Tamandua tetradactyla: one gene and its partner. Each later gene encodes a partner of the first gene's protein in a complex. Links are inferred from orthologs where the notes say so. Each region holds a gene or a part of one and is shown on either strand. Other genes may lie near its edges. The genes, in order: AKAP13 and PKN1.

Region 1 (9,610 bases):
TCTGTGAAAAGTCTTTAATTCCCTGCTGCTTTCCACAACGCAGCATTTTTATATTAAAAAAAAAGACTTATTACAATGTGGCATAGTTACTTAATTCCTAACCATTCAGGAATAAAGGCTATTTTGGATAATGGAGGCTATTTATAAGGCCAAGTATGGACTTATAATCCTAAGTGAAAATTAACAAAGAATTGACATCCAATAGAAGAGCCCACAGAATGACATAAATGGTAAATCACTCACATCTTTTCCTTTTTCCCCAACCCAATCCCCATACCCATACACACACACAAGCACACACTGTTATCTGCCTCCCCCAGGTTCAGAAGCCAGCTATGAATATGTAAAATGGTAAAGCACACCACTGTTCCACTCAATTATTCATATAATCACAGTATCTCACAGCACAAGGTCTGCTGGTCCATCCTCCCAACAAGAATGGGTTGTCTATTCATCTGTTATCATGGACTGTCTATTCATCTTCTACTCATGTCTCAATCAACCTATAGGTGAACTAGAAGACTATAAATCTGAGGACACATGAAGGAAATAACCTTCCTCTCACTAATAGCTTCCTGCTCTCTCCCCACTGTCAGCATTACGACTGCCTGACCAGGGAACACAGCTTTCAAAGGAACGCCTGACCCAACAGACAACCAAGCCCATTCAAGTGCACTTAAATGTAAACTTTAAAAGAGAGGGGCATCAAAAGCCCACATTTGCACATCTAGCTTTGTCGGGGATGTTTTTAACTCCTATCTGTGAGTCTGGTCAAATATAATCGATAAAAGGTTACTATAATCCTTAGGTGCTAATGTTTACCCTGATTTTATAAGAAAAATAATGGAAACATCAAATTCAATATATCTTTTACAGGTAAACAATTCTAGAATGCATCTATTCCACTATGTAATTTAGTAAGTATTCTAAACTGAGCTGGTATAACTGATTTCTATCAGTGCATTCTTCGGTAGATGGGGACATCTTCAAATAGGGGAAGTGAGTGATTTGTTCAGGTTTCTTAATTGTACAAACACTGTGCTAACACCCAGTCCAGTTCTACCGTAAGCCTGAGAAATGGAGTCATAATCCATACTTATTTTTTAAAACTAAGGCAAAATGAAGAAGGAAAGCTGCAACTTAAGTAACTCAGATAACCTATTAAAAGTGTTGAAAACAATCCATCAATCCCTCACCATTTTTCAAAACTATAGACCCAGAGAGTTCTCTTCTACCAAGCCGCTCCAAAACCCCATTCAAAGGAAGACTGACAGGTGGCTGAGAAGGTGAAACCACAATTGTTTCTATTCACTTTCAGTTCAATGAGTGTCTTTAAAAAAAAAAGTTGCAATTAGATTAAGAATTATATTTCTCACGAAGATTCTTTTTTTATAAATCGCAAAATTACTATATTCAGAAGCATCTGATTTTTAAGAACACTTATGGAATCATATAAAAAATGTATCAAAATTATCATCACAGCTACCAGGTAAGGGATACCTACTAAATGCTAAGCACAATACTACATACCTCACATCGTTTCATTTACTCCTAAAAACCTTATAAAGTATGTTACTACCCCTTAGCGAGTAGAAAACTGAGGCTCCAAGGGATTAAGCAATGCACTCAAGGCTATATAACTGGTCAACAGAAGTGTGAAGACCAAAATCTACCTCCTACCAAAGAGTGCACCTTCCTCTAAATTGTGTTCCTTACCCCATTTCACATAGCAAATACAGGCAGTGATGTGAGTGGATTGGTCCAGCAGTCGTAGTAATTTCACGGAAGAAAAAAAAAAGAAAAGATCTAAATCAGAATCACCTTTCAAATCCATAGCACACTATTTAAACCCTGTATTTTTTTTTTTCCAAGAAGTAATGAACAGATTAAAAAAGAAGAAAGGACAGAGCTTCTTTTAAAGGAAACTAAATATCTTCACAGGTCTACAAGTGAAGTGTCATTTTGGACAAGTCCCCAGAATTAGTGGTTGTCTCCCAAATACACTTAAGGCACATGTGCATTTTGCCACTAGCTAGTAAAAAGGACCTCCCCCAATTCAAACACATATTGAACACCTTCTGTGTTGCCTGCTGGTAGACATATAAAGCTAAATAAGGCCCATCACTTACCCTGAAGAAGCCATTAGACTAGAGCAGGGGTCCCTCTATACACATGTACAGCTACTATTTAGGCAAACAAATGAAGTGTGAGAAAATCCTAAAAGAAAAGTAGATGCAACATACTATAAGAGCCCAGAGGATGGAAGCAACTAACAGCTTGGCCTTCAGGTGACTCAGAAACAGTATTTGTTTACCTTATGCCCCTCCCTGACAACCTCTTCCAACTTCTGCCTTCTCATTGGCTGCATCCTCTGTGCTACCCGCCTACACACACACACACACACACACACACACACACACACACACACACACACACACACACACACACACAGCACAAAGAAAGCCTTAAGAACAAGGATGTGACTCCTAAAAGTGATTTTGCAGTTGTAATCTAAAGAACTGTGCTACCATCATTGCTAATGCAGTACTACCATCATTGTTAATGTAGTAACACTAAACTGTATACTTGAAAGTGGTTAACTGGGAAATATTACGATGTATGTGTTACCACAATAACTGTTTTAAGCACAATGCTAATTCTTAAAGAAATTTTGCTCCAGCTTCATCAAGTGAATAAAGCTGGTTTCCAATGCAAAACGAGGTCAAACCAGAAAGACCCAGGAGCACTTTCCTAATTTGAGAAAATTCAGCAGCCAAAGCAAACTGATATTTCTGAAAATTTTAATTTAGCACCTGGCAAAAGGATATATAACTGAAATTAATACATTCTGGTCATTTTGTTCCACTATGAATTGATAGATATTTAAACTAGTTCCATCTGGGAAATTTAAACAAAATTTTTCTCACATCATAAGCCAGATGAAATTAATTCAGGGGAATAAGTGCACCCAAAACTTGACAACAAGGCTAGAACTTAATGCAGTCTGCAAATCCCCAAGAGACCATGAAGGAATACTAGCACAGTAACACTGATTTCTCTCAACTGATCATAACTCTCTTACAAACTCGCAAAAAAAAAAAAGAACTTTCAAGAATTGCAGCATCGTCCCTGATCTGGCGAGCCAATGGTTTAGAAACACTGAATAAGCTGCTGCTTCTGAAAATAAAAGGCAGCAGGGAGGAGGTGGCTAAGAAAAAGCATTTATAGTTTAATTCTCTATGCCTGAGGCAATAAACTCTCAAAATAACTTTACTAAGTGCAAAAGTTAAGAATGAACATCAAAGTACTGCTCAATCCAGCTTCCACCATGAACCCCCGAACAGTCAGATCTAGAAATTTCTACGTGATGGAATCACTCCACTGTAAGAACTACTTCCCCCCTCCAAAAAAAAAATCTATCATTTCTTCTAAGGAAGAAAGCTGTTTGAGGATTTCCCTTTTTTTTTTTTTTTTTACTGTTGGCTTCGCAAAAAAGAAAAAAAGTGTCAGTGGGCCATATTTACAAAAATATGCTTAGTTTGGTTGCAAAATATGGCTGCACTTGAACTCGGTAGAAGTTGAGCCAGTCGGACGGTTCCCGCGGCGAGTTTCGCCCACGCGCGTCCCCTCCAGGCGCCCGTGTCCCGGCTGCGCCCCCGGGAGAACGCGTGCGGGGGGCCAGCGCCCCACGAGCTGACCCTCCGCGGTCGCCTCGCGGAGTCGCGTCCGAAACACTTGTCGGCGTGAGGAGTCGCGAGGCCGACAGAACCCGAGGCACCGGCGCGCCCCCGGGGCCCCCCCGCCGCTGCCCGCCCCAGGAGGGGGAAAGCCCGGGGCGAGGGCGGGGCGCAGGCCTTAGCGACCCGGCGGCATGGCCGCGCCCCCCAAGCGCGGAGCGGCGGCGGTCCCGACGGGCGGCTGCCTGAGAAGGCGCAACTCGGCCCGGAGCAGACAATGCCGGAGCAGCGCGGACGCCGCGCGCGGAGAGGTCCGCGGAGGCGGGCAGGCAGCCCGCGCACCCCGCGCCGCCCGACCCTCCCCCCGACCCCCGCCCCGACCCAGCGGCCCAGGGGGAGGGACCCCCGCTCCGCGCCCCCCGACCACCCCACACTCACATCACACAACTTCCCCAACTCCGCCAACTAAGTTGCGCTCTCACCGCGCGGCGCCCGGGGCTCTCCCACGGGCCGAGCCGGACAGCTCCACACCTTCGCCTCAGAGAAACACAACAGGCGGCTGCTCCCCCCGCTGCGACGGTGGTTGAAGCGGCACGAGCCGAGGAGAGGAGCGGACACGGCGGTCTCGAAGAGCCCAAGTACTTCACCGTAGCTGCTCCTGCTCTGCGTTGGTCCCGCACACAGCCTCAGCCCTCCTGCGCATGCGCCGCGAGCCACTCCAGGGTAGGAGGGGTCCCTGAGGAGGGCGGTAACTCCTCCAAGCCCTCCCGTGAATAAGCACCGAGCCCAGGGCCCCGAGCTAGGATTGCACGTCAGAGCTGCCCATCAAGATCCCTGAGACCAATAGGAAGTTACCTGGGCGGTGTGCTTGTTGCTAGGGGAGACTCAGGTTGACCGCGGCTGCTGGGCCGCAGCAAAGTGATCAAAGTGGAGTGGCTGCAGCGGCTGCTCTGGGAAATGCCCACCCACCCGGTCCCTGGAAATCCTCTCCGCCCTGTCTCCGGAAACCGCTCTTCCTGTGTGTGCCTGATGCTTACCTGAGCTGTAGGCACCTCCCACACATATAGATATGATTTACTCTTCTATTTTCCCCCTCTTGAAATCAGGAAGTGCTGTGTAGTCTTCTATGTGTCACCAGCGCTTAGGCGAATCGTTACTAAGTATGCAGCAAGTGTTAGTTGGATGGATGGATGGACAGACGGACGGACAGATGGAGCTATGGTGGGATCAGGATTGGAACAGTGCATTCCGGGAACTTTTGGCAACTCGATCACCACAAAATCATAGCCTTTGGGTCGGAAAGGACCTCAAATTATCTAGTGCTTTTGAGAAACAAAATGTGGTCACTCTACCAGTGGTGGCCCAGGAAAAAATATTAGTTGGTACACGAAGAAACTTCTGTATTTAGCTAATGTGTTTATTTCATTTGTATTAAGGAAAAACTATGCCTAACAGTCAAATCATTAGATCGAGTGAGAACATTGTAAAAAAAAAAAAAAAAAGTGAAAGAAAAATATTAACACAAAAGTATAGAAAAATATTAAATAAAAATATTATGTAAAAAAATGGAGGCACTTTATATGAAACTGATAGTGATTCACTGAAGAACAGTGGCTCCGTAGGGAAAAGGGTCCCCTACTGGCTGGGAAGAAGCAGGAGGGACCCCTGTGTGGTGCTGGAAATGTTCTATATCTTGATCTGGATGGTGATAATGCAAGTATATTCATAAGTAAAAATTCATCCAGTTGAGCACTTAAGATTAGTCCACTTTACAAACTTTACACATGTATTTTATACCACAGTTTTAAGAATACACTGGTTCAGCCCCAACCAAAACCATTCCTGCCGATCCTAAAGAACACCGAGGGCTTCACTGGAGAATCTACAACGGTTCCATGCACTAGGGTAACTTTCCAGAAACCTACAACCTCCAGATGGGTCCGTGAACCAGATAAGTCCTGAAATGCAGAGGGACCAGCCTCTCCAGCACATCAGCTAGTTCCATCTCCCTATCCCCTGTTATCAACAGCCTCTTCCAACATGAAAAGCTAGAATAGGGAAAGCCCAAATACCCCTAAACAGTGGGAGAAAGTTCAAAGGTGATGGTGGAATTATAACAGAGAAGGTAGAGTTTAACAAATGAATATGATTGCTGAATCATTATATTGATATTTCTTTTAGTCTCCAGTATCTCAGAGCAGTTAGAAGTAAAAACCTAAAATTGTGGAACTGTAACCCATACCAAACTGTGAAATCTGATCTAACTAAATTGTTGTGATATGTTTTGAAATTTATTGCTTTTTGGTATGCTATTTTTCACAAAAAAGAAAAAAAAAGTTGATTGTGATGATGAAAAAAGTGAAATTATTTCTATTATAAACATATCTAATTGTTGTAGAACTGTGACTATTCAGCCATTTAAAAAGCCTGGGTTTTAAATCTCCAAAAAAAAGAATATATTGGTTCAGGATATGGCAAATTAGACAGATAGATAGATAGACAGATGCAAATGACTGCATTTTGGGAAACCAGGGTTGGGGTAACTTCTCTACCAGAGACCAAATACCTGAGAAAGGGTCATATAACTACTTCCTAATCTGTGTTGGATACTTCCATTGTTAGATGGCACTAAATCTTAGACACAGCACTAAATCTTAGACACGCCCCTAAGGCTGAGTGGAAATCTGCTTCCCCCTAAGTAGACCTGGTTCTTACCTCTGTGTTCTTAGTTCATCCTCACAGAATGATAAAAACCAAGGCTGAACACCCCCAGTTCCTTTATCTATTCTTCGTGTGAAATTGTTTCTGGACCCCACACTGTGCTCAGTCTTTAAAAGGTGGCTCAGAAGGAAGATACCCCTGGATTCTGGTCTTGACTCTGCCACCAAGAAGTTAACAGTAGCAGGTCATTCCTCCTACCAGAATCTCAGTCTCCTATAAAGCAAAGGGCCTAAGAAAATCACTTAGACCCTAACATCTAATAATTCCATGGCCTTCTGTTAGAGCCTGGGCAGTCTGTTATAGAGGCAGGAGCAAATGTGAACATGTCATCTTTCTAGTGACCACAGACAACACCATTCCCTGAGCCCCTGCCCCCATCTTGGCAGAATTTATACCTTCTCGTTGGGCTACAGAAAACCCAGCACTTTTTGAAGTTCACTGTGCCTACGAATTACTTGGGAGGGCTTGTTTAAATGTGGATTTGACTTGGTGGGTCTGGGGTGGTGTTTTAGTTTGCTAATGCTGCCAGAATGCTATATACCAGAAATGGATCAGCTTTTATAAAGGTAATTTATTAAGTTACAAGTTTAAGACCATAAAAATGTCCAAACTAAGGCATCCAGAGAAAGATACCTTGACTCAAGAAAGGCTGATAGCGTCTGGAACACCTCTGTTAGCTGGGAAGGCACAGGGCTGGCATCTGCTGGTCCTTTGGATTCTGGTTTCAAACAGCTTTTCCAGGTACATTTTCTTTCTGCATCTCCAAACATCTCTGTCTGGGTCAGCTTTGAGCTTTTTCCAAAATGGTTCCGTCTAAAAGGACTTCAGTAAATGCATTAAGACCCACCTTGACTGGGTGAAGACACATCTCCATGGAATCTACCTAATCAAAAGGCTCCACCCACAATTGGGTGGGTCACATCTCTACAGAAAAAAACTTAATCAAAAAGATCCCACCCAAACAATAACTCTGCCTCCACAAGATCGAACTAGGAAAAAGAACATTGCTTTTCTGAGGTACACAAAAGCCTCAAACCAGCACAGGTGGGATCTGGGGATTCTATAGTTCTAGCAGGCTCTTAGATGATACTGACACTGTCTGGGACCCCATTTTGAGAACTGAGGGTCTACTCTAAGTTTCCCAGACAGCAGAGCCTCAGCTCAAATGTCCCTCCTCAGAGAAACCTTCCTTGACCAGCCAGTCCTAATCCCTCTTGTTCCTATTACTTCAATTTTTTCATAGCATTTATCCCAATCAGAAAGTACCTTATTTATTTTGTCTGTGTTTATTGACTATTTCCCCCACCATAATGTAAGCTCCCTGAAGCCTGTTTTGCTTGCCTCTCCCACTCCCCTGCACCTATAACAGTGTCTGCTGCACAACAGGGCCTCCATAAAAGCTTTGCAAGAAGGAACGTGTGCAGAAGGCCACTGAGGCGCCCTCAAACTGAGTGTTCCTAATACTAAAGATTTGTTCTCCAGAAAGTCACCCATATCTCTATACAATGTGCCCCATTTTACCAGAAAAAAATCTCAGGTTGAACAATTTTCTCACTTTCCCAGAGTGAACTTACAAGCCAGGAAAGATGCCAGGACTTTATCAAGCAATGGCAGGAATTTGTAACTCTGAATTACCACTCTAGTTGACATGTCTCTCCATGTCGACTAGACATGCATTCTGTAAAATATAAAAGGATAAAAATGTAGCAAGGATATAACCCCATTTTACAGCAATCCCTGGCAATGTGAAGACAGAGAAAAAACAAAATGAATACACTTGTAAGAATACACATTTCCCTTGAAACTCATGGTTCTTGAAAGTCCCAGTGCCTCTTCTTTCACAGCAGTGGACATTTCGTTGCTTTTGTGGTAGACATACTGCCCCGATGTCACTTTGAGGGAACTTTTGCCTCCAGGGCCTCGCTTAGCATGAAGTCAACTCCACCATAATTCCATGGCCTCAGCACGCAATCCAGTCCTGTGCCAATCAATGTATTCTATCCATAAGAAATGGTAATTAGTTCAGACTTGGGCACATGACCCCAAACCGGCCAGTCAGGGGCAACAGGAATAGATTCTACCCTCTGTTTGAGCTATCAGGGAAGCAGACCTAGTCTTTCTCAACTGGAACTTCAAAGGATATGCTTGTCATCCCTCTTGTCACCATGAGAAAAGAACCTTCCTGAAAGAATGGAGCCAGCACAGTGGAAAGGTGAGCAAGAGGAAGACAAACATCTTGGTGACATTTTTGATTGCTAAATCCAGACACACCTGAAGCTAGAACAACATGGTGACTTTCAATCATGTAAATCAATAAAGCTTGTCAGAGTGCAGGTATCTATCACTTGTAGCCACTAGATCCTAATTGATACACTATCTGTGCTGGTTTGAAACTGTTATGTACCCCAGAAAAGCCATGTTCTTCTAATCCATGCTTGTTCATGCAGACCTATTGTTGGATGGGCTCTTTTGATTAGGTGGTTTCCATGGAGATGTGACCCACCCAGTTCATGGTGAGTCTTAATCCTTTACTGGAGTCAAATTTTGAGAGGACACAGAGTACAGAGCTCAGAGACATTAAGGAAGAGAAAAGAAACACCCAGAGACTTGTTTTTTTTCTCACGCAGAGACTTGGAGACAGAGACAGAAATGTCCTGGGAGAAACAAGCAAGGACCTGCAGAAGCCCAGAGACATTTTGGAGGAAGGACCAGCAGACGTGGCCATGTGCCTTCACATGTGACAGAGGAACCCTGGATGCCATTGGGCTTTCTTCAGAGTCAAGATAGCTTCCTCTTGAGGCCTTAATTTGGACATTTTCATGGTCTTAGAACTGTAAATTTGTAAACTAATAAAGCCCCTTTGTAAAAGCCAACCCATTTATGGTATATTGCATTCTAGCAGCTTTAGCAAACTGAAATACCATCCATGAGCTGACGATTCCCCATCAGTGCTCTTGTCTGTTTCTCAATTCATTCAGCAAATATCTATTAAAAGTTTATTGTGTGCCAGTGTTCCAGTTTGCTAGCTGCTGGAATGCAATATACCAGAAACAGAATGGCTTTTAAAAGGGGAATTTATTAAGTTGCAAGTTTACAGTTCTAAGACTGTGAAAAATGTCAAATTAAAGCAAGGCTATAGAAATGTCCAATTTAGGGCATCCAGGGAAAGACACCTTGGTTCAAGAATGAGTCCAATGACGTTCTTGAACTCT
Region 2 (10,107 bases), on another chromosome or scaffold:
CAGTGGCCAATTTTTTTTTCTAACTTTTCATTTTATAATAATTTCAAACTTTCAGGACAATTGCAAAAAGAATACAAACTCCATTCAGAGAACTCCAACATACACCTACCATGGCAGATATTCCTATCTTTCAATCATGTATCTCTTATCTATGTATTATCCATGTATCTACCTACCTACCTACTTACCAACCTACCTTCTGAACATCTGACAGCAGGTAGCACATGCCATACTCCTTAAACATACAATACTCCTATATACATTTCCTACGAACAAGGCTAGTCACCCTAAGTGCACTCACCAAGTTCAAGAAATTTAACACTGATACAAAGTTTACGTTGCATATTCCAATTTTTCTTATGTCCCTAAAATGTCCTTTTGAGCCTTTTCTCCTCCATTTTCTTAGACTCCATCCAGTACCACATATTATTGCATTTGTCATTATCTCTCTGGTTTATCTTAGCGGGAACATACATGCAACATAAATCTCCATCCCATCCCCTCCCAGGCCTGCCATTCGGAGGGATTTATCACACGCCCGATGCTGCGGTACCCTCACCACTATCCATTACAGAACTTCCCCTCCGTCCAAGAAGAAACCTCACCTCGTTTTGCACAAACTCCCCGTTGCCTCTGCCCCCCACCCCTGCCAAGCTTGACTCCACTTTCTGTCTCTCTGAGCTTGCTTATTCTCTGATATTTTCTTTGTGGTTGCCTGGGACTGAAATTTAACATCCTAAATCTATAACATTCTAATCCATGTCACTTGCTTTGATATCTGTTTAACTTCCAGCTAGCATTGTGACAGAGCTTTCCCTGGATGCCAGGAGCTAACAAGAAGAGAAGAGGAGGCGGTGGAGGAGGAGGTGGTGGGATGAAGAGGAGGAAGAGACACCTATGCAGGTCTTTGCAGAGCGGCCTGGGGGATTGCTTCCATCGGGGGGTTACCCAGACGGTGAGCTCAGAGAGCAGCTCCGGGCCAAAGACAGGGGCCTCCCGGGTCCTTTCTGTGCATGCTCTTGTCTTAGGTCTAGAATCCGCCCATACACCTGGGCACGAACACCCCTTCTTCCCAAGGAAGCAGTGTCCTCAAGGCCCTGGCCACTGCCCTGGGCAATCCCTGCCCCTGGCAGCCACGTGATGGCTTTCCCTGGGGAGCTCTGGGAGCCCTTTGCATGGGCAGGACAAGCTCTGGGACAGCAAGTTCCTCAGGTCACCACCACAGAGCCTGGGCCAGACATCTGACACCAGTGTGTGCATGACGGCCACTGGGCTTCCTCTAGGACCCTGTCCAGGGCCCACCAAAGGGGCAAGATGAGAGGTGGGGGAGGGGCGATGGCCTGTGTTACGATGTGCCTTTTACCACAACGAAAAATCTCCGTGATGGTCCTTCTGACATCACCCCCCCGCCCCCCCAACACAAACACACTCCTCATATGCCCCTAGGAGCTACCTGCATCCCGATCCTGTCTCCAAGTATGCATACAGGTGTGTGTGTGTAGGAAGTATGTTAATAGGGGGCATGTGTGCACACACAGGTAAATGTGTACAGGTATATGTGTGCATGTAGGGTGAGTGCACACCTATGTATGGAATGTGTGTGTAAGATTGTACACGTACGTGTGGGTGGGTGCGTATGTGCATGCATGGCCCCCACCTTGGTGCTGCCGTTGCTGTACGTCTGGATCATGTTTTCGGCCCCCTGCTTCACCTTCAGCTCGATGGCCAGCTGCTTCTCCAGGCCAGCCACACGGCTCAGATTGGTGGCCGAGCAGGCCGAGCCACACGCTCCGGGGGACTGGGGTGCATCTGGAGGGGGCGGGAAAGAGCACGTCACTATGGCCCCCAGCACCAGCGGACAGGCCGGTAGGGGACACCCGGGCCCAGAAACTTCTAGCCACCCCCAGCCACCCCAGGAATATCCCCCCACCCCTCTTCAGTGGCATGACCCAACATAAGTGAGCACAGGCAGGTGGTGTAAGTTCCTGGACATTGGTGCAAGCATGTGTGGGAATCCCCAACTATTTATTCAGGTGTCTGAGTCCTTAGAGGTTAATGCAACTGAGTGTGAGTGACTGTGGGTGTGAGGAGGTCTGTGTGTCTCCCGCCTGCTATGTGTGTAACTGGGAGATGTCAGGTGATGGAACGATCGTGAGATGCCAGGTACTGAGGTGGCCCTATGCATACGTTTCCATTCATACAGCTACGAACTGGGACCCCTGGGTGCTGTGTGAGTCTGCGTGGGAATCTTTGGGTGTTGGTACAGCTGGGCATGTGTGTCTCTGGGTGCTGTCCAGGTGTTGGTGGGACTGTGAGAGAGTCTTCTGGCATTTTCTGGGTGTTGGTATTGACTGTGGGTGAGTCTCAGGGTATTGGTGTGACTGCAGATTGCAGTGTTTGCTATGACTGTATTAAAAGACTTGGTGTTGCCAAGACCACGTGTCCCTTTGGGGTCTTTGGAGCCAGTGTTGCCTGTCTGGGTGTTGATATGACTGCGTGTATGTAGCCAGTGGTGCATGTCTGCCTGTTGGTGCGACTGTGTGTATGTAGCCAGTGGTACATGTCTGGGAGTGGGTGTGACCACGTATATCTCTCTGGAGGTCAGCAGTCGATACTGTGTCTCTTGCTGTTGTGTGACTCTGTGGATAGCTGGGGGTGCATGGCTGCCTGTTGGTGGGACTGCATGTGTACAGCTGGGGGTGTGTGTCTGCCTGTTGGTGGGACTGCATATACAGCTGGGGGTGCGTGTCTGCCTGCTGGTGTGACTGCATGTGTACAGCTGGGGGTGCATGTCTGCCTGTTGGTGTGACTGTGTATACAGCTAGTGGTGCGTGTCTGCCTGTCGGTGCATATCTGCCTGTTGGTATGACTGCATATGCACAGCTGGGGGTGCATGTCTGCCTGTTGGTGTGACTGCATGTGTACAGTTGGTGGTGCATGTCTCTCAGCAGCTGGTACTGTACGCCCGGGCCCAGCGGTGGAGGTGGCATGCGTGCCCCACGCCCCCCGGGCCTCCTAGCTCACCATGGGCGGTGGCCACAGGGTCGGGCAGCACCACGTGGGCATGTAGCTCCTGCAGCTGCTGGTGCAGCAGCTCGAGGCGGCGTGATGAGCCACGCAGCAGCACCTCCACGGGCCCCAGGCTGCGGCCCAGGTCGGTGGTGGCGCGACGCAGGTTCTCCGCGCCTTCCTTCAGCTTCAGCTCCTTGCGTATCTCCCGCCGTAGCCGCTCCCGCTCTAGCTCCAGCTGCTGCTGCACCCCGGGGGCCGCCAGGTCCGCACCCGCCAGGCCCAGCTGCTCCAGCAGGGACCAGCTGCGCGGCTCACTCTGCAGGTGACAGGGCAGGGTCAGAGGAGCCAGGAAGGTTCCCCCCACATCAGGACTCCCAAAAACAAGAGCCTGACCTGCTCTTCAGAGACCCCAAAACTGGCAAGGCCCTGGCCCCCCAGACTAGAGGACCCCCCAGAGACAGCACTGCTTCCTTTTGTCTGTCCTTCAGGCAGTGGACTCCAGAGGGAGGCTCCAGCACCCCAGTGCTGAGCCCCCAAAGGAGCAGGGGCCTAGGGCAGGTCTATCTCCCCTCAGCTGTCTCCCCAAACTAGGAGACGCTAAGGGTAGGCCCTGTGCCCCCTCTCTGTCCCCCCAAAACTAGTAGGTGCTGAGAGCAGGCCCTGCTTCCCCCCCAGCTCCCCCGACCTCTACAATTAGGACCCTAAAGAACAGAGTAGATCTCCTTCCTCCCACGTCTCCCCACTGGGGGAGTCCCAAAGATCCCCAAATCTCTTCTTCCTCCAAAATGAAGACTCTGCAGCCCCCGTCTTATCTCCTCTCCTCTGTCCAAAACTTGGACGTATGGCGGCCAGAGCCCGTCTCCCACCCACCCAGTCCTGTCCCGCTAGTCCCCACAGGGACCCCAGCCCCACCTCCAGCTCTTGGTGGGAAGGGGGTTCAGCCTCCGCCATCCCGGGTCCGAGGTGAGGGCCCCGCCCTCTTCCTGAGCCTCCGCCCTGCCGGGGCCTCTCGCCCGCCACTTCCTCTTTCCTGCCAGCTCCCGGCAGCCCCCACGGCCAGCCCGGGCACCAGGGCATCTCGGGGACCTTCCTTATAACCCCTCCTCCAGGACAAGCCTGCTTCCCCGAGGCACCCTGGTGGGTATGCTCCCATGCCACTGGCATGTATGTGACAAATAGGCATCCGTGAGCATGCACATGCTCCCAAGGCTTGGGTGGCTGCCTGTTCTCACGTACCAGTAGACAAGTACACAAAACACAAGCTCACGCACGTGAACGCAGACTCACAAGTGCATGTACACTCTCCCATCTATGGGTGTGCACACGGAATACAGATTCACTTATGTGTGTACACTCCTGAATCTACAGGTGTGTGCAAGGAACGCAAACTCAGGCATGTGTGCACACTCTCACTTCCACAAGTGTGCACACTCCCACAGCTATAGATATGCATATGGGACAATGATTTCAGGTGTGTGCACATTCCCTCGCCCACGCATGTGTATACTTCTATGCATGTGCCTGAGAATATTTACATGCCCCCCCAAACTTTGTACAATACACGTTCCCACCTGCCCACGTGGGTGCCACACACACACTACACACACACACATACCCACACGCTCTCCGAGGCCCCCATGGCCTCCCCATGCTCCCACGGGCCTTCAGCTCTGCTGATACCTGCGTGTGTCCCTACAGCCAGATGCTTCTGCCCGCCCCTTGTCCCTGACTTCCCCTTTGGGGTCAGGACAGCGAGTGCTACAGAGACCAGGCCCCCTTCCTGCAGGCTGAGGCTGCCCTGACTTCCTGCTTCGTCCCCGACTGGCCCGCTGCTGCCAACCACAGCTGAAAGGCTGGTGGGACCGCCCTGAGGCTGACACAGAGAGAGGACAGCACTGGGGGGCTGGGGCACAGATCAGCCAAAACCAGCAACCCTCACAACGCCAGCTGGGCACATACCAACGGCCAAGCATGCCTATTTCTAATAGCAGTTACTAGAAACTTCTCCCAGATTAACTAACACCACCCCATGTTCCAGATAAGGAAACTGAGGCCTGGGGTGGGGGTGGGGGGTCATGTAACTTGCTCTAAGTTCCCACGGCCAGCAGGAGGCAGGGTTGGGAACCAAAACAGAAGTGGCCAGCACCCAAGCCCGGGTTGGGGGTCAGCATGGCACTAAGTGCCCCATGGACATCACCTCCGTCAGCTGGGGTCACTCACTTCACAGATGAGAAAAGCCGTCGCCATCTGCCCCTGACCAACTGCCACTATTCTCCCCATTAAACAGGCGAAGAAACAGGCGTGGAGGAGTTATAACAGAATTTTGAAATGAGCAGTGGAGGGGAATTTTATATCCACTGCTGGGGGCACTGGGCCATGTCTGGAGATCTTTTTGGTTATCACAACTGGGGGGAGGGGTTTGCTACTGGGACTTAGTGGGTTGAGGTCAGAGCGGCTGCTCACCATCCCATGATGCCCACGTCGGCCCCCCATGATGAAGAATGACCCGGCCCCAAAAGTCAGTGGTGCCCCAGCTGAGAAACCCTGCATTAATTATTCAGGAAAACAATTGGGTTCGGTCCCTAGCTCACACCACACATCAGAATCAGTTCCCCATGAGTGAGACAGCGTAAACCTCTGGGATTTACCTCCTCTGTCCCTTGCCACTCAGTTTGTGTATTTAAACGCATGCAGAATCACAGGACATCAGTAAGTCAGATAATTATGGGATGCAGGGTCTCGGGTATCAATGAGATCCCCTGATCCAGAGTAAATTGGGGTGATTCTGCTCCCAGGGAATATTTGGCAATGGGCAGAGACACTTTCGGTTGTCACACTGGGAGGAGAGGAGGTGGTCCTGGCATTCAGTGGGGGGAGACCAGGAAGGCTCCTCAACACCTTCAGTGCCCAGGATCCAGCTAAGGATGGGACACCATGGTGGAAAGAGTATCGATTTGGAAGCAGCTCCGAGCACTGTCTGGTGTCTATCTCTTCTGGTGACAGGACCGAGGCTCAGAGAGGCAAAGACATTGGCCCAGGGTACACAGTGAGCAAGTGGCAGCCTTGGGGTTTAAACCCAGGCTCCCCTCAAATATCCCCTCCCAAGCAGCTACCCCTATCCTAGACAGGCCGAGCAGGGGTGCAGCCAGGAGCAAGGCCAGCCCAGATGGGGAAGTCCAGCCTCCCTGGGCCCCACCTCCCGGCAGCGGATGCCTGAGAAAATGCAGAGCAGGCAGGGAGGGGGGCCCGGCCTCTCCGGTCCTCCTCCCCGGGTGACTCACTCCTACCCCAGGGTAAGGGGTCACCTGAGGCCCAGTGAGGAGAACCCAGGAATTCAGGGGGCCTAGGCCAGCCTCGGAGAATCCCTGCTTCCCAGAGCAGCCATGGGCCTAGACCCCCATGTCCAGAGATTTCAATGCCTTGGGCGTTTCCAGAATGTGGATAGGACATCCGTTTGCCGGACACAGAACAGACAGGCACATGTCGGGAAAGACAGAGGGACGGGGCAGCAGGCCCAAGATCCACGGGGAAGGGAGGAACAGGAGGGGAGCACAGGGCAGGCAAGGGATTGGAAGGGGGGACCAGGGCACGGGCCCAGCCTCATTCTGGGAGTCACAGCCTTGTCTGGGTCACGCATGGTACATGCCCAACGTATGCATGCACCTGGGGGACTCCTACACAGCCCCCCACCCTGGGCCGGGGGAGGAGGCAGGGACCCCGGCCCACCCCCTTCCCAGGTCTGACCTTGTGCGCTCTGCAACACCAGATACGCCCAGCTCCTCGGCAAGGCTGGCAGGCCATCAGCAGGACTGGGGGAGGGGGGCATGGTGGGTCACGGGGGAGACACAGAGGGGACAGGGGCAGGTGCAGAAGGAGACGAGAACCCGGTTACAATGAGACCACGGGACAAATGACCAGATGGTGGAATGCTGACAGCGGGCACCAGAGGCACAGGGCATGTCTGATTTGGGTCAAGCAATCCAAGAAAGGTCCAAGGCCACCTGCCCTGCTTGTCACTGATGGGGAGACTGAGTCCAAAGCAAGGAGGTCAGAGAGGCCAAGGCAGCGCCTGGATGGTGCCAGTCACAAGCAAGGGGGGTGGCATTTAATGGGGTACACCCCTGGCGCCCACAGGCAAGTAGGATTCCAGGTATGGTGGCAATTCCCCACCTGAACACCCCAGCCCAGCCCACTTGGGAGGGCAGAGAAGGTCCCACCTGCAGTCCCGAGAGTGGGCGTGGGGGGGGCCCCGACCCAATGAGGTGACTCGGGGACTTCCGCCAACAGGTGCTAATCGGGCTGGCGTCGGGGCCATCGTAAATGGTAAATGTCTTGTCGGGAGGCGGGGGCCTCTGGAGCTTTGCGATGCGGGGGAGGGGCCGGGCCAGCGGCCTCCTCCCCTCCCCGGGCCCCGCGCCAGGCACCTGTCCCAGGAGGAGCGGCACCTGCCGGGAGCCGCGTGCCGGGGAGTGGGGGGTGGACAGTGGATGCAGGGTGGGTGACAGGCACCGGGACGCGCAGACCAGCCCCTGACACCCCACGTCGCGCCGCCGCCGCGCCCCCCTCCAGTTCTCGGGGAGGGCCCGGGCTCCGAGGCGCGGCGGGGGCTGCCCGGCCCTCCCCGCACGCCCCCCTCGGGTCCGTACCTCCACCTGTCGAGATGGGGGGCCGGGCTGGCTCCGCGGCTCCCGGCCCGGGAGGGGGCGCCGGGCGCTCGGGAGGCCCCCGCTTGCCCCGCCCCGGCGTGGGGGGTCCCGCCAGCGCGCGGCCCCCGCGGCGTGGGACGCAGGTGCGCCTACCTGCACGGCGTCGCTGGCCATGTCCTCGCGCCGCCCGCCGGGGGTCCCCGCGCGGAGGGAGGAGCCGGGAGAGGAGCGCGCGTGCGCCCCGGGCGGGGCGGCGGGGGCGGGGGGAGGGGGAGGGGGGCGCGCGGCCCGCTCCGACCTGCTCGGCTCCGGCCCCGCCTGGCCCGGCCGCCGCGTCCGCGCGCCGCGCCCTCCGGCCCCAGCGGCCGCCGGGGCCCGCTCACGTGACCGCGAGGTCGGCGCCCGGGGAGGGGGCGGGGCGAGGCGAGGGGGCGCGGCTCCCGGCGGCCCCTGGGGCGGCGGGGTCCCGCCTGCCGGGCGCGCCCCCCTCCCTGCCGGACGGCCTCGCGTCCGCCCCCCACCCCTCCCGCCCCGCGCGCTGGCCTCTTTCTTCGTCCCCCCCCTCCGCCCCGCCCCAAGGAAAGAAGGAGCCACGTTAAAGCGGGGAGGGGCGCAGGGCTTTGGGCGCCCCCGGGGCACCCCGACCCTCCTCCGATGGCGAAGTCAGGCCTCCTGAACCCAGGATTAGACGCGCTGGCTTCCAGGGCACGGGAGCGTCCCCGTCGTCTGGGGACGGGGCTGGTTTCCAGTCCCGAGGCCCCAGGCCTTGGCGGACGCCACGAGCCCCTAAGAGCGCCTCCAGGGGGAGACGGGAAGGAGGGACCCACCCCTCGAGGGTTGGAGACATTAAACCCCAGAGTGGACAGCGAAGTGCTGACAGCGGTGCCGCGCGCACAGCCAGCGCTCAGTACATGTGAGCTGCCGTCGTTTTTTTATGTCACGGTCGTTGTCACTCTTTAAAAGGGGTGGGAATCCCAACTCGGCCGCTGACCTGCAGCGGGCCCTGTGGATCCCCGGGCAGCGCCGAGCCTCAGTTTCCCCGCTGCAAAATGGGGGGCAGTCTCTTCTTCGGGAGCTGCTGCATCTAGGGGGCGCTCCATAAATGCGGCGGAGGCAGGACGGAAACTTCTCTCGCGCGGCCCGGTCTCCCGAGAGTGCAGCAAGCTGGGCTCGCGGCGGCCTCCGGACCCCCTCAATCCCTTGGAAACCCGGTGATAGAGTCAAACGGCCGTCCCCCGGGCTCCGAGCCTGGAGAGCTCCCTGGAGGCGGTGCCTGCGCGTGCTGCGACCTCCCGGGACCAGCCGCAACGCTCAGGGCTGCGGGCGCCTCGGTTACACGTGGCTCGGCTCGGCTTGCGTGGTCCCAGAAACCCAGGCGCAGGGTTTGCTCCTTCGGGCCACTCTCCGGGGATTTAAACAGAGGGAGGAAGGGAAGGAGGAGGCGAGTGAGACCCAGCCAGGAGCTGTCCATTCCTCTCCCCTTCCACCGCCCCCACCTGGCCATTCGCTCACCTGGACCAGAGCAGTCGCCGCCTCCCAGTTCTCTGCGCTCCGCGGCTGCTCCCTGTTTCTCCCCACAGAGACCAGAGAGCCTGCGCAGGGACATCTGAGTCAGGTCAGGCCCCCTCCTCTGCCCAGAACCCTCCATAGCTCCCACCTCCCCCGGAGCAAAAGTTAAGTCCTTCCAGCCGCCGTCACCTCCCTGACCCTCTGGCTTCCCCTCTCGCTCACCCTGCTCCAGCCACGGTGGCCTCCTCCTTTTGTTGATTGAATTAAAACCCTAACAGCTTGTCTTTTGCTCCCAATTTGCAGAGGAAAAAAAGCCCAAAGAGAAGCCTCTCGCCTGGATAACAGTGCCGGGCTGATTGCCGTCTATGACCAGAAGGACGTGACTTCTCTCTCTAAGTTTTCAGGTGACCCATTTCACAGATGGGGAGCATGAGGCAGACTGAGCCCTTTTAGCTGGGACTCTGGGACTGGGCTGGCAGGAACGGACTTTTCCAGGGATGGGCCTCTCCCGCCTGCCAGCTTCCAGGCGGCCTCCGCAGATGCAGCTGGGGAGCCTTGCCAGATTCTCACTCTAACCTCCCGGTGTTCATTTACTCAGTGAACATTTATCGGTGCCCCCTGGGGGCTTTGCTGGTGCTGGAAATGGAACAGCACTGTGGGTGTAAAAACAGGGAGATGGACGACTAACATACAACCTCGACAATATACAAGAACTGTGCTCTCCCCTCTACCATTTGCTCTGGGGCCTTGGAAAGCTTAAATCACACCCCATCTCTCCTCCCTGCTGGGAAACCCTCCCCTGGCTCCACAGTGCTTTAGGAAAAACTCATCTCTTACCTGGCCTGTAAAGCTGGTCCTGGACCAGCCTCTGCCCACCTGTCTGGCCTCCCCCTTTCCCACCCTCCTCACCCCTCTTCTGCCACACTAATCTGCCTGCCTT

Evidence for each region.
Region 2: AKAP13 (region 1) and PKN1 share a complex: the UniProt entries of both Homo sapiens proteins name them as parts of the signaling complex. The link is inferred for Tamandua tetradactyla from reciprocal best matches to the Homo sapiens genes AKAP13 and PKN1.

Annotation. Positions count from the first base shown.
Region 1 is NC_135338.1:93,201,972-93,211,581, reverse strand, and holds the start of AKAP13 (A-kinase anchor protein 13), read right to left. Parts: upstream 4,492-9,610; 5' UTR 4,160-4,491; exon of another isoform or gene 4,116-4,159; intron 3,927-4,115; coding exon of another isoform or gene 3,576-3,926; intron 1-3,575. UniProt on the Homo sapiens protein: Scaffold protein that plays an important role in assembling signaling complexes downstream of several types of G protein-coupled receptors.
Region 2 is NC_135337.1:88,508,895-88,519,001, forward strand, and holds the start of PKN1 (serine/threonine-protein kinase N1), read right to left. Parts: upstream 4,019-10,107; 5' UTR 3,964-4,018; coding exon 3,925-3,963; intron 3,329-3,924; coding exon 3,025-3,328; intron 1,810-3,024; coding exon 1,658-1,809; intron 1-1,657. UniProt on the Homo sapiens protein: PKC-related serine/threonine-protein kinase involved in various processes such as regulation of the intermediate filaments of the actin cytoskeleton, cell migration, tumor cell invasion and transcription regulation.